2 linked regions of the Xenopus tropicalis genome follow. The protein of the gene in region 2 purifies or fractionates together with the protein of the main gene of each other region. This does not show direct contact. Links are inferred from orthologs where the notes say so. Each region holds a gene or a part of one and is shown on either strand. Other genes may lie near its edges.

The links. Proteins that work in one complex are often made in the same cells at the same time.
Region 1: the proteins of cnot7 (region 2) and capzb purify together in Homo sapiens (co-immunoprecipitation; 3 studies listed by BioGRID and IntAct, with this or other methods). This does not show direct contact. The link is inferred for Xenopus tropicalis from reciprocal best matches to the Homo sapiens genes CNOT7 and CAPZB.

The regions. Positions count from the first base shown.
Region 1 is NC_030683.2:129,971,433-129,975,519, reverse strand, and holds the start of capzb (F-actin-capping protein subunit beta), read right to left. Parts: upstream 2,802-4,087; 5' UTR 2,568-2,801; coding exon 2,565-2,567; intron 1-2,564. UniProt on the Homo sapiens protein: F-actin-capping proteins bind in a Ca(2+)-independent manner to the fast growing ends of actin filaments (barbed end) thereby blocking the exchange of subunits at these ends.
Region 2 is NC_030677.2:42,299,998-42,304,178, forward strand, and holds the start of cnot7 (CCR4-NOT transcription complex subunit 7), read right to left. Parts: upstream 2,807-4,181; 5' UTR 2,664-2,806; intron 2,657-2,663; exon of another isoform or gene 1,978-2,656; intron 1,175-1,977; 5' UTR 1,072-1,174; coding exon 955-1,071; intron 1-954. UniProt on the Homo sapiens protein: Has 3'-5' poly(A) exoribonuclease activity for synthetic poly(A) RNA substrate. Its function seems to be partially redundant with that of CNOT8.

The DNA of each region.
Region 1 (4,087 bases), on a different chromosome or scaffold from region 2:
CTACCCACAGGTCTCTGCCCTGCACTGACTGGCACACCCCCTACCTACAGAACTGCCCACCCTCTACCCACAGGTCTCTGCCCTGCACTGACTGGCATAGCCCCCTACCTACAGAATTGCCCACCCTCTACCCACAGGTCTCTGCCCTGCACTGACTGGCACACCCCCTACCTACAGAATTGCCCACCCTCTACCCACAGGTCCCTTCCCTGCACTGACTGGCATAGCCCCCACCTACAGAATTGCCCACCCTCTACCCACAGGTCTCTGCCGTGCACTGACTGGCACACCCCCTACCTACAGAATTGCCCACCCTCTACCCACAGGTCCCTTCCCTGCACTGACTGGCATAGCCCCCTACCTACAGAATTGCCCACCCTCTACCCACAGGTCCCTTCCCTGCACTGACTGGCATAGCCCCCTACCTACAGAATTGCCCACCCTCTACCCACAGGTCCCTTCCCTGCACTGACTGGCATAGCCCCCACCTACAGAATTGCCCACAGGTCTCTGCCCTGCACTGACTGGCATAGCCCCCACCTACAGAATTGCCCACCCTCTACCCACAGGTCTCTGCCCTGCACTGACTGGCATAGCCCCCACCTACAGAATTGCCCACCCTCTACCCACAGGTCTCTGCCCTGCACTGACTGGCATAGCCCCCACCTACAGAATTGCCCACCCTCTACCCACAGGTCTGTTCCCTGCACTGACTGGCATAGCCCCCACCTACAGAATTGCCCACCCTCTACCCACAGGTCTCTGCCCTGCACTGACTGGCATAGCCCCCACCTACAGAATTGCCCACCCTCTACCCACAGGTCTGTTCCCTGCACTGACTGGCATAGCCCCCACCTACAGAATTGCCCACCCTCTACCCACAGGTCTCTGCCCTGCACTGACTGGCATAGCCCCCACCTACAGAATTGCCCACCCTCTACCCACAGGTCTGTTCCCTGCACTGACTGGCATAGCCCCCACCTACAGAATTGCCCACCCTCTACCCACAGGTCTGTTCCCTGCACTGACTGGCATAGCCCCCACCTACAGAATTGCCCACCCTCTACCCACAGGTCTGTTCCCTGCACTGACTGGCATAGCCCCCACCTACAGAATTGCCCACCCTCTACCCACAGGTCTGTTCCCTGCACTGACTGGCATAGCCCCCACCTACAGAATTGCCCACCCTCTACCCACAGGTCTCTGCCCTGCACTGACTGGCATAGCCCCCTACCTACAGAATTGCCCACCCTCTACCCACAGGTCTGTTCCCTGCACTGACTGGCATAGCCCCCACCTACAGAATTGCCCACCCTCTACCCACAGGTCTGTTCCCTGCACTGACTGGCATAGCCCCCTACCTACAGAATTGCCCACCCTCTACCCACAGGTCTCTGCCCTGCACTGACTGGCATAGCCCCCACCTACAGAATTGCCCACCCTCTACCCACAGGTCTGTTCCCTGCACTGACTGGCATAGCCCCCTACCTACAGAATTGCCCACCCTCTACCCACAGGTCTGTTCCCTGCACTGACTGGCACACCCCCTACCTACAGAATTGCCCACCCTCTACCCACAGGTCTGTTCCCTGCACTGACTGGCATAGCCCCCACCTACAGAATTGCCCACCCTCTACCCACAGGTCTCTGCCCTGCACTGACTGGCATAGCCCCCTACCTACAGAATTGCCCACCCTCTACCCACAGGTCTGTTCCCTGCACTGACTGGCATAGCCCCCACCTACAGAATTGCCCACCCTCTACCCACAGGTCTGTTCCCTGCACTGACTGGCATAGCCCCCTACCTACAGAATTGCCCACCCTCTACCCACAGGTCTCTGCCCTGCACTGACTGGCATAGCCCCCACCTACAGAATTGCCCACCCTCTACCCACAGGTCTCTGCCCTGCACTGACTGGCATAGCCCCCACCTACAGAATTGCCCACCCTCTACCCACAGGTCTGTTCCCTGCACTGACTGGCATAGCCCCTACCTACAGAATTGCCCACTGCTCCCACCCTCAGGGGTATCCCCATTACACCCATTCCCCACAAGTGTGCTTAAGCAAAGGGGCCCAGTTGTGTCCCTGCCAACCCCTGACCCAGCTGCCAGGCTGGCACAGACCCCACACACCCCTGGCATGAGTGGCACAGGCCTAGGCACACTGAGGGCCACACCCCCTAGCCACCCCGCCTGCCCCAGGCCAATGGCACAGTTTAGCCCAAATGCCCCGAGTGACAGCCCGGTTAGGTTGATCCCGGCCCAGTAGCCCGGCACCCTGCCCATACCAGCCGCTCGGCCCGGAGCAGATACACAGGGGGGCAGATACACAGGGGGGCAGAAGTGCAGGGAAGGCGGCGGGTAGCGGGGAAAGGGAAGTATTACAGGGCCGGGCCCCTCACACACAGGGGAGCTGCTGCCGGTACATGTGGCCCCTGGAGGGGAGGGGGGCCCTGCACCCCAAACTACAACGGCTCCCGTGACGTCAGCCCTAAGCGGGGCACCCCCTGCCCGGACCCCCTGCCCGCATCTCCCGCACCCCCCTTCTTCCCCCGATTGTTACCATGGCTGCGGTGGGTTAGAGCCGGACGCGGTAGGAGGGGTCACGGTGGGGCGGGGCTGCGCTCCGGTTCGGCTCCGTTTCCTAGTCGCTATGCCCCGTAGGCCCGGCGGCGCCTCCACTTCCTTAGGACCTAGGAGTGAACATCCGGGTCAGCGGCTCCGAAGTTGGAGCCACACCCACGGCCCTGCTTAACTGCCAATCACAGCGCGGCCTTGCAGCCATCGCCAAGTATGGAGAGAGTGACGTGCAGACGGAAGGGGGCGGGGCTTGCGAGGCGCGGAGAGAGGGGGAGGCGGGGCAAAGCGGAGAGTGACACAAATGTTCCAGTCTGAGTGTGTCAGTGTGTGTGTATGTGGGAGAGACTGTCAGTGTGTGTATGTATGTATGTATGTATGTGTGTGTGAGAGACTGTCAGTGTGTGTGTATGTGGGAGAGACTGTCAGTGTGTGTATGTATGTATGTATGTATGTATGTGTGTGTGAGAGACTGTCAGTGTGTGTGTATGTGGGAGAGACTGTCAGTGTGTGTATGTATGTATGTATGTATGTATGTATGTATGAGAGACTGTCAGTGTGTGTATTTGTATGTGTGAGAGACTGTCAGTGTGTGTATGTGTGAGAGACTGTCAGTGTGTGTATTTGTATGTGTGAGAGACTGTCAGTGTGTGTATGTATGTATGTATGTATGTGTGAGAGACTGTCAGTGTGTATGTATGTATGTGTGAGAGACTGTCAGTGTGTGTATGTGTGAGAGACTGTCAGTGTGTGTATGTGTGAGAGACTGTCAGTGTGTGTGTATGTATGAGAGACTGTCAGTGTGTGTATGTATGTGTGAGAGACTGTCAGTGTGTGTATGTGTGAGAGACTGTCAGTGTGTATGTATGTATGTGTGAGAGACTGTCAGTGTGTGTATGTGTGAGAGACTGTCAGTGTGTGTGTATGTATGAGAGACTGTCAGTGTGTGTATGTATGTGTGAGAGACTGTCAGTGTGTGTGTATGTGTGAGAGACTGTCTGTGTGTGTATGTGTGAGAGACTGTCTGTGTGTGTATGTGTGAGAGACTGTCAGTGTGTATGTATGTGTGAGAGACTGTCAGTGTGTGTGTATGTATGAGAGACTGTCAGTGTGTGTATGTATGTGTGAGAGACTGTCAGTGTGTGTATGTGTGAGAGACTGTCAGTGTGTATGTATGTATGTGTGAGAGACTGTCAGTGTGTGTATGTGTGAGAGACTGTCAGTGTGTGTGTATGTATGAGAGACTGTCAGTGTGTGTATGTATGTGTGAGAGACTGTCAGTGTGTGTGTATGTGTGAGAGACTGTCTGTGTGTGTATGTGTGAGAGACTGTCAGTGTGTATGTATGTGTGAGAGACTGTCAGTGTGTGTATGTGTGAGAGACTGTCAGTGTGTGTATGTGTGAGAGACTGTCAGTGTGTATGTATGTGTGAGAGACTGTCAGTGTGTATGTATGTATGTATGTATGAGAGACTGTCAGTGTGTGTGTATGTATGAGAGACTGTCAGTG
Region 2 (4,181 bases):
GTACCTGGCCGACATTTTCTTACCAACTGAAGACACTTTGGGTCTCACCGCCGATACGAACCTGCTTGCGCATGAGTAGTTGTAGGTAGCAGGAAATCTGCTTCAACTGCGCATTCTCAAGCAGGTTAGGTGTCGGCTGTGAGACCCAAAGAGTCTTCAGTCGGTAAGATGTTGGCGAGGTACGCGGTTGCGCTTGTCTGCATTTTTAGCTAGCAGTCAGCAATAGGGACAGAGTGTAAACTTGAAAACAATGCGATATGGGAGAGGTGGGGGGGGGGTCTAGGCAAAGAGTGCCATCCGGAAGTAAAGTTCTCCTTTAAAAATATGTTAATCAAAGTCCCTGAAACAGCACCGTGTGCCACTATTCTAAGAGTTTTAGTTGCTACCTAGCCTACCCAATGGCAGGCACCTTACCAGACCATGGCCACCATACACCTTTAGCAGTTGAGCCCATGGATCTTTACTATCATAAAGCTGCTACAATTAGCTTAGAATAGAAAATACAGCATTTCTAGCCATATTCTTTTTTTTTAGGCTTTAGTTCTACTTAGAAATATCTTTAACAAATAAGTGCAGTAAGCAGCCTGACTTGTTTCTACACACTAGAAAAATTATAACTGCAATATAAACCGAACCCATTGTACTGGACAAAAAAAATATTAATATTTTAATGTAAACAAGTACTTATATTGCATATTAAAGTAAATTAATTATTCTATTATTGTTATGTCACACGAAACATTGGGCCATTAGAGTCTATAGTTGATATAATATTACCCTGACAGCGGAAGCAGTGTGGCAGATACTGCAAGCAAGGATTGCTTATAAACAGTAAATAGGTTCCCCTTTGAGGAGACTCAAAAATCTATAAAATCTTAAATATTCCTGAACTCTTAATGCCAATTTCAAAAATGAAAAACATTTTTGGAGGGGAAACAAACATCCTAAACATACCATTGCAACATAATTATACTTGCGTATAACTTGGCGGATTCTCTTCATTTGATCATCCAGGTTGCAAGCCCAGACTTCGCAAATTCGCTGGCTGAGGTCCACTGTTGCAGCTGGCATAGTGGGTCTGGGGGACTGACTCAGAGGCAGGCATCAAAATTTTGCAATTAGCTATTAAAGGGTTTCATAGGTGGTAGGCCGAGGCCGAAATCAGCTGCTAAATCTAAAATTAAAAGAAGAATAGTTTTTATTTTACTAACAAATAAAAAATAATATACCGGTATAATACTAGCAGGCAGAACATATCAGGAAATGCCAAGAAAGGGGAAAGGTGGCCCATGTGCATGCCACCACCTTTTGAACAATATGCACTTTGTGCAATACATTTTATATTAGGAATGGGGATCCTCTGACTATGGAGTGTGTTTGGTCCATGACATTACCCAAAAATTGATTTTTGTATTTTGCCCATATATGGTGATCCATTGTTAATATGAGTTAGGGGAAGTTGTGGTTGAAGCACAAAAGTGTATAAATAGAATATTTCTTCTCTCTACCCATGGTAATAGTTGTAAAGCCATCTTTTAAGTCAACACTGTGGCTTCTTTAGGGAGTAGCATAATTCTATTTTGCCTTAGTGCTCTATACAGCAAGGCCCAGCAATCTGAGCTTTCTGGCCCATCACTAAGCAGAGATAATGAACACAGCTGGTACTGTTAGGCTTCAACTGGGTAGTAATAATGTAGGCTAGCAGTATTATTACAACTCTTGGAAAGTGACCATACCAGAGTTCTATACATAAGAATCTCTAGGTGCCACCCTGGATGCAGACCATGTTTTATGCAGATCATGTGTTAAAGGGGCAGTATATGCCAATATACAACATTAGCAAAATAAATAGAACATATGCAAATAATACAGCATATCATTGAACATATCAACTGAAAAAATTGCATATTTCTTAGTGATAACATTATAATAAATCAGAAATGAAGCATTTGTTTTCTCCTATGCTTACTCTCTTACCATTAATTAGATGAGTTAGTTTATCTAGATATACTGAGCTCTGTATAAACAACCCTCATCCCATCACCCTTTGTTATGTCTAGTTTGGCTTACAGGTTGGCAGGATTTCCTTTGTGCACTGATAATGATCTGCCTCACAAAACATGCATGAGCTTCAGTTGACTGTTTAGCACAGAAAACATCAAAAACAATAAATGTTTCCTGATTAAAACAGACAAAAAGTATGATCAGCACAAGTTCTATTCATTGCAATCATAATGAACAAGGGGGTATACTGCCCCTTTAATAAAAGCCAGAAATGAATGGGGAGAAGCAGGTCTCCCTGAACTGTCTTGCGGGGTAGACAGGAAGATGTCCAGCTGCACTTGTTGCTGAAGCGTATCCTTTGGCTGATGAAGGATGCTGGGTAATGTAGTTTACGAGCTAGGGGTTCGCCACACAGCTGCCAATAAAAGCTGTTCAGGTGCAAGTATCCCTTCTGCGTCCCTTGTGATTGAACGAGCTGGAGGCTCCCCGACTGGATACTGGCCCATAGTCACGGTATGTGCGCTAAGCACCAATGCCTACTGATGCTTGTGACAGACAATACAGCCGCCTCTGGTTGTGCCCAGTGTGTGTGTGTGTGCCATCCCACTGCTCCGTATCCGTTCTGTAAGGCTCACAGCCCGACACTATCCCTGCCCTACCTAAGATAAGTCTGGCCGCTGCCGGTCTGTCACTTCACGACCGCGCTCCCAGGGCTCGCACAGGAGATTACCGAGGCCCCTACACGTCATGCGAGCGACGCGCCAGTCCCACGGCAGGTTCCTGCTAACCTCCTCCCGGACGCACTTGGATGACGTCAAGCCGCCACAAAGGCGTGGAAAACCATCCCCTTCTCAAGCTGGTAGGTGACATGATGTCACAGGCTGTGCGTCATACGGCGCGACCCATGGAGAGTGAAAGTAAGTGGCAACTGGGATTGTGCTTGATGGGATAAACACACAACTGTCTATCTAGTATGTGTGTGCAGGTATGTGACAACTGCGTGTATGGCTTCTCTCAGATATCATGGTGCGTAGGGAAGGTTACATACATGTTGTGTAGCACGGCAAGGGACAACTGGGGGTGTAAGAGGAAGTGACAGCCGACTGTATCTTGCGGTTTTATTTAATGTTATCTGAGTGAGGGTTGAAGGTTAATAAGGTACACTTAGAAATTGGGGGGGTGTTAATAAGGTACACTTATGAAGTGGGGGGGAATGTTAATAAGGTACACTTATGAAGTGGGGGGGAATGTTAATAAGGTACACTTATGAAGTGGGGGGGGAAGGTTAATAAGGTACACTTATGAAGTGGGGGGGAATGTTAATAAGGTACACTTATGAAGTGGGGGGGAATGTTAATAAGGTACACTTATGAAGTGGGGGGAATGTTAATAAGGTACACTTATGAAGTGGGGGGAATGTTAATAAGGTACACTTATGAAGTGGGGGGGAATGTTAATAAGGTACACTTATGAAGTAAGGGGAAGGTTAATAAGGTACACTTATGAAGTGGGGGGGGAAGGTTAATAAGGTACACTTATGAAGTGGGGGGGAAGGTTAATAAGGTACACTTATGAAGTGGGGGGGGAAGGTTAATAAGGTACACTTATGAAGTGGGGGGGGAATGTTAATAAGGTACACTTATGAAGTGGGGGGGGAATGTTAATAAGGTACACTTATGAAGTGGGGGGGAATGTTAATAAGGTACACTTATGAAGTGGGGGGGAATGTTAATAAGGTACACTTATGAAGTGGGGGGAATGTTAATAAGGTACACTTATGAAGTGGGGGGGAAGGTTAATAAGGTACACTTATGAAGTGGGGGGGAAGGTTAATAAGGTACACTTATGAAGTGGGGGGGGAAGGTTAATAAGGTACACTTATGAAGTGGGGGGAATGTTAATAAGGTACACTTATGAAGTGGGGGGGGAATGTTAATAAGGTACACTTATGAAGTGGGGGGGGAATGTTAATAAGGTACACTTATGAAGTGGGGGGGAATGTTAATAAGGTACACTTATGAAGTGGGGGGGAATGATAATAAGGTACACTTATGAAGTAAGGGGAAGGTTAATAAGGTACACTTGTGAAGTGGGGGGAATGTTAATAAGGTACACTTATGAAGTGGGGGGAATGTTAAAAAGGTACACTTATGAAGTGGGGGGGAATGTTAATAAGG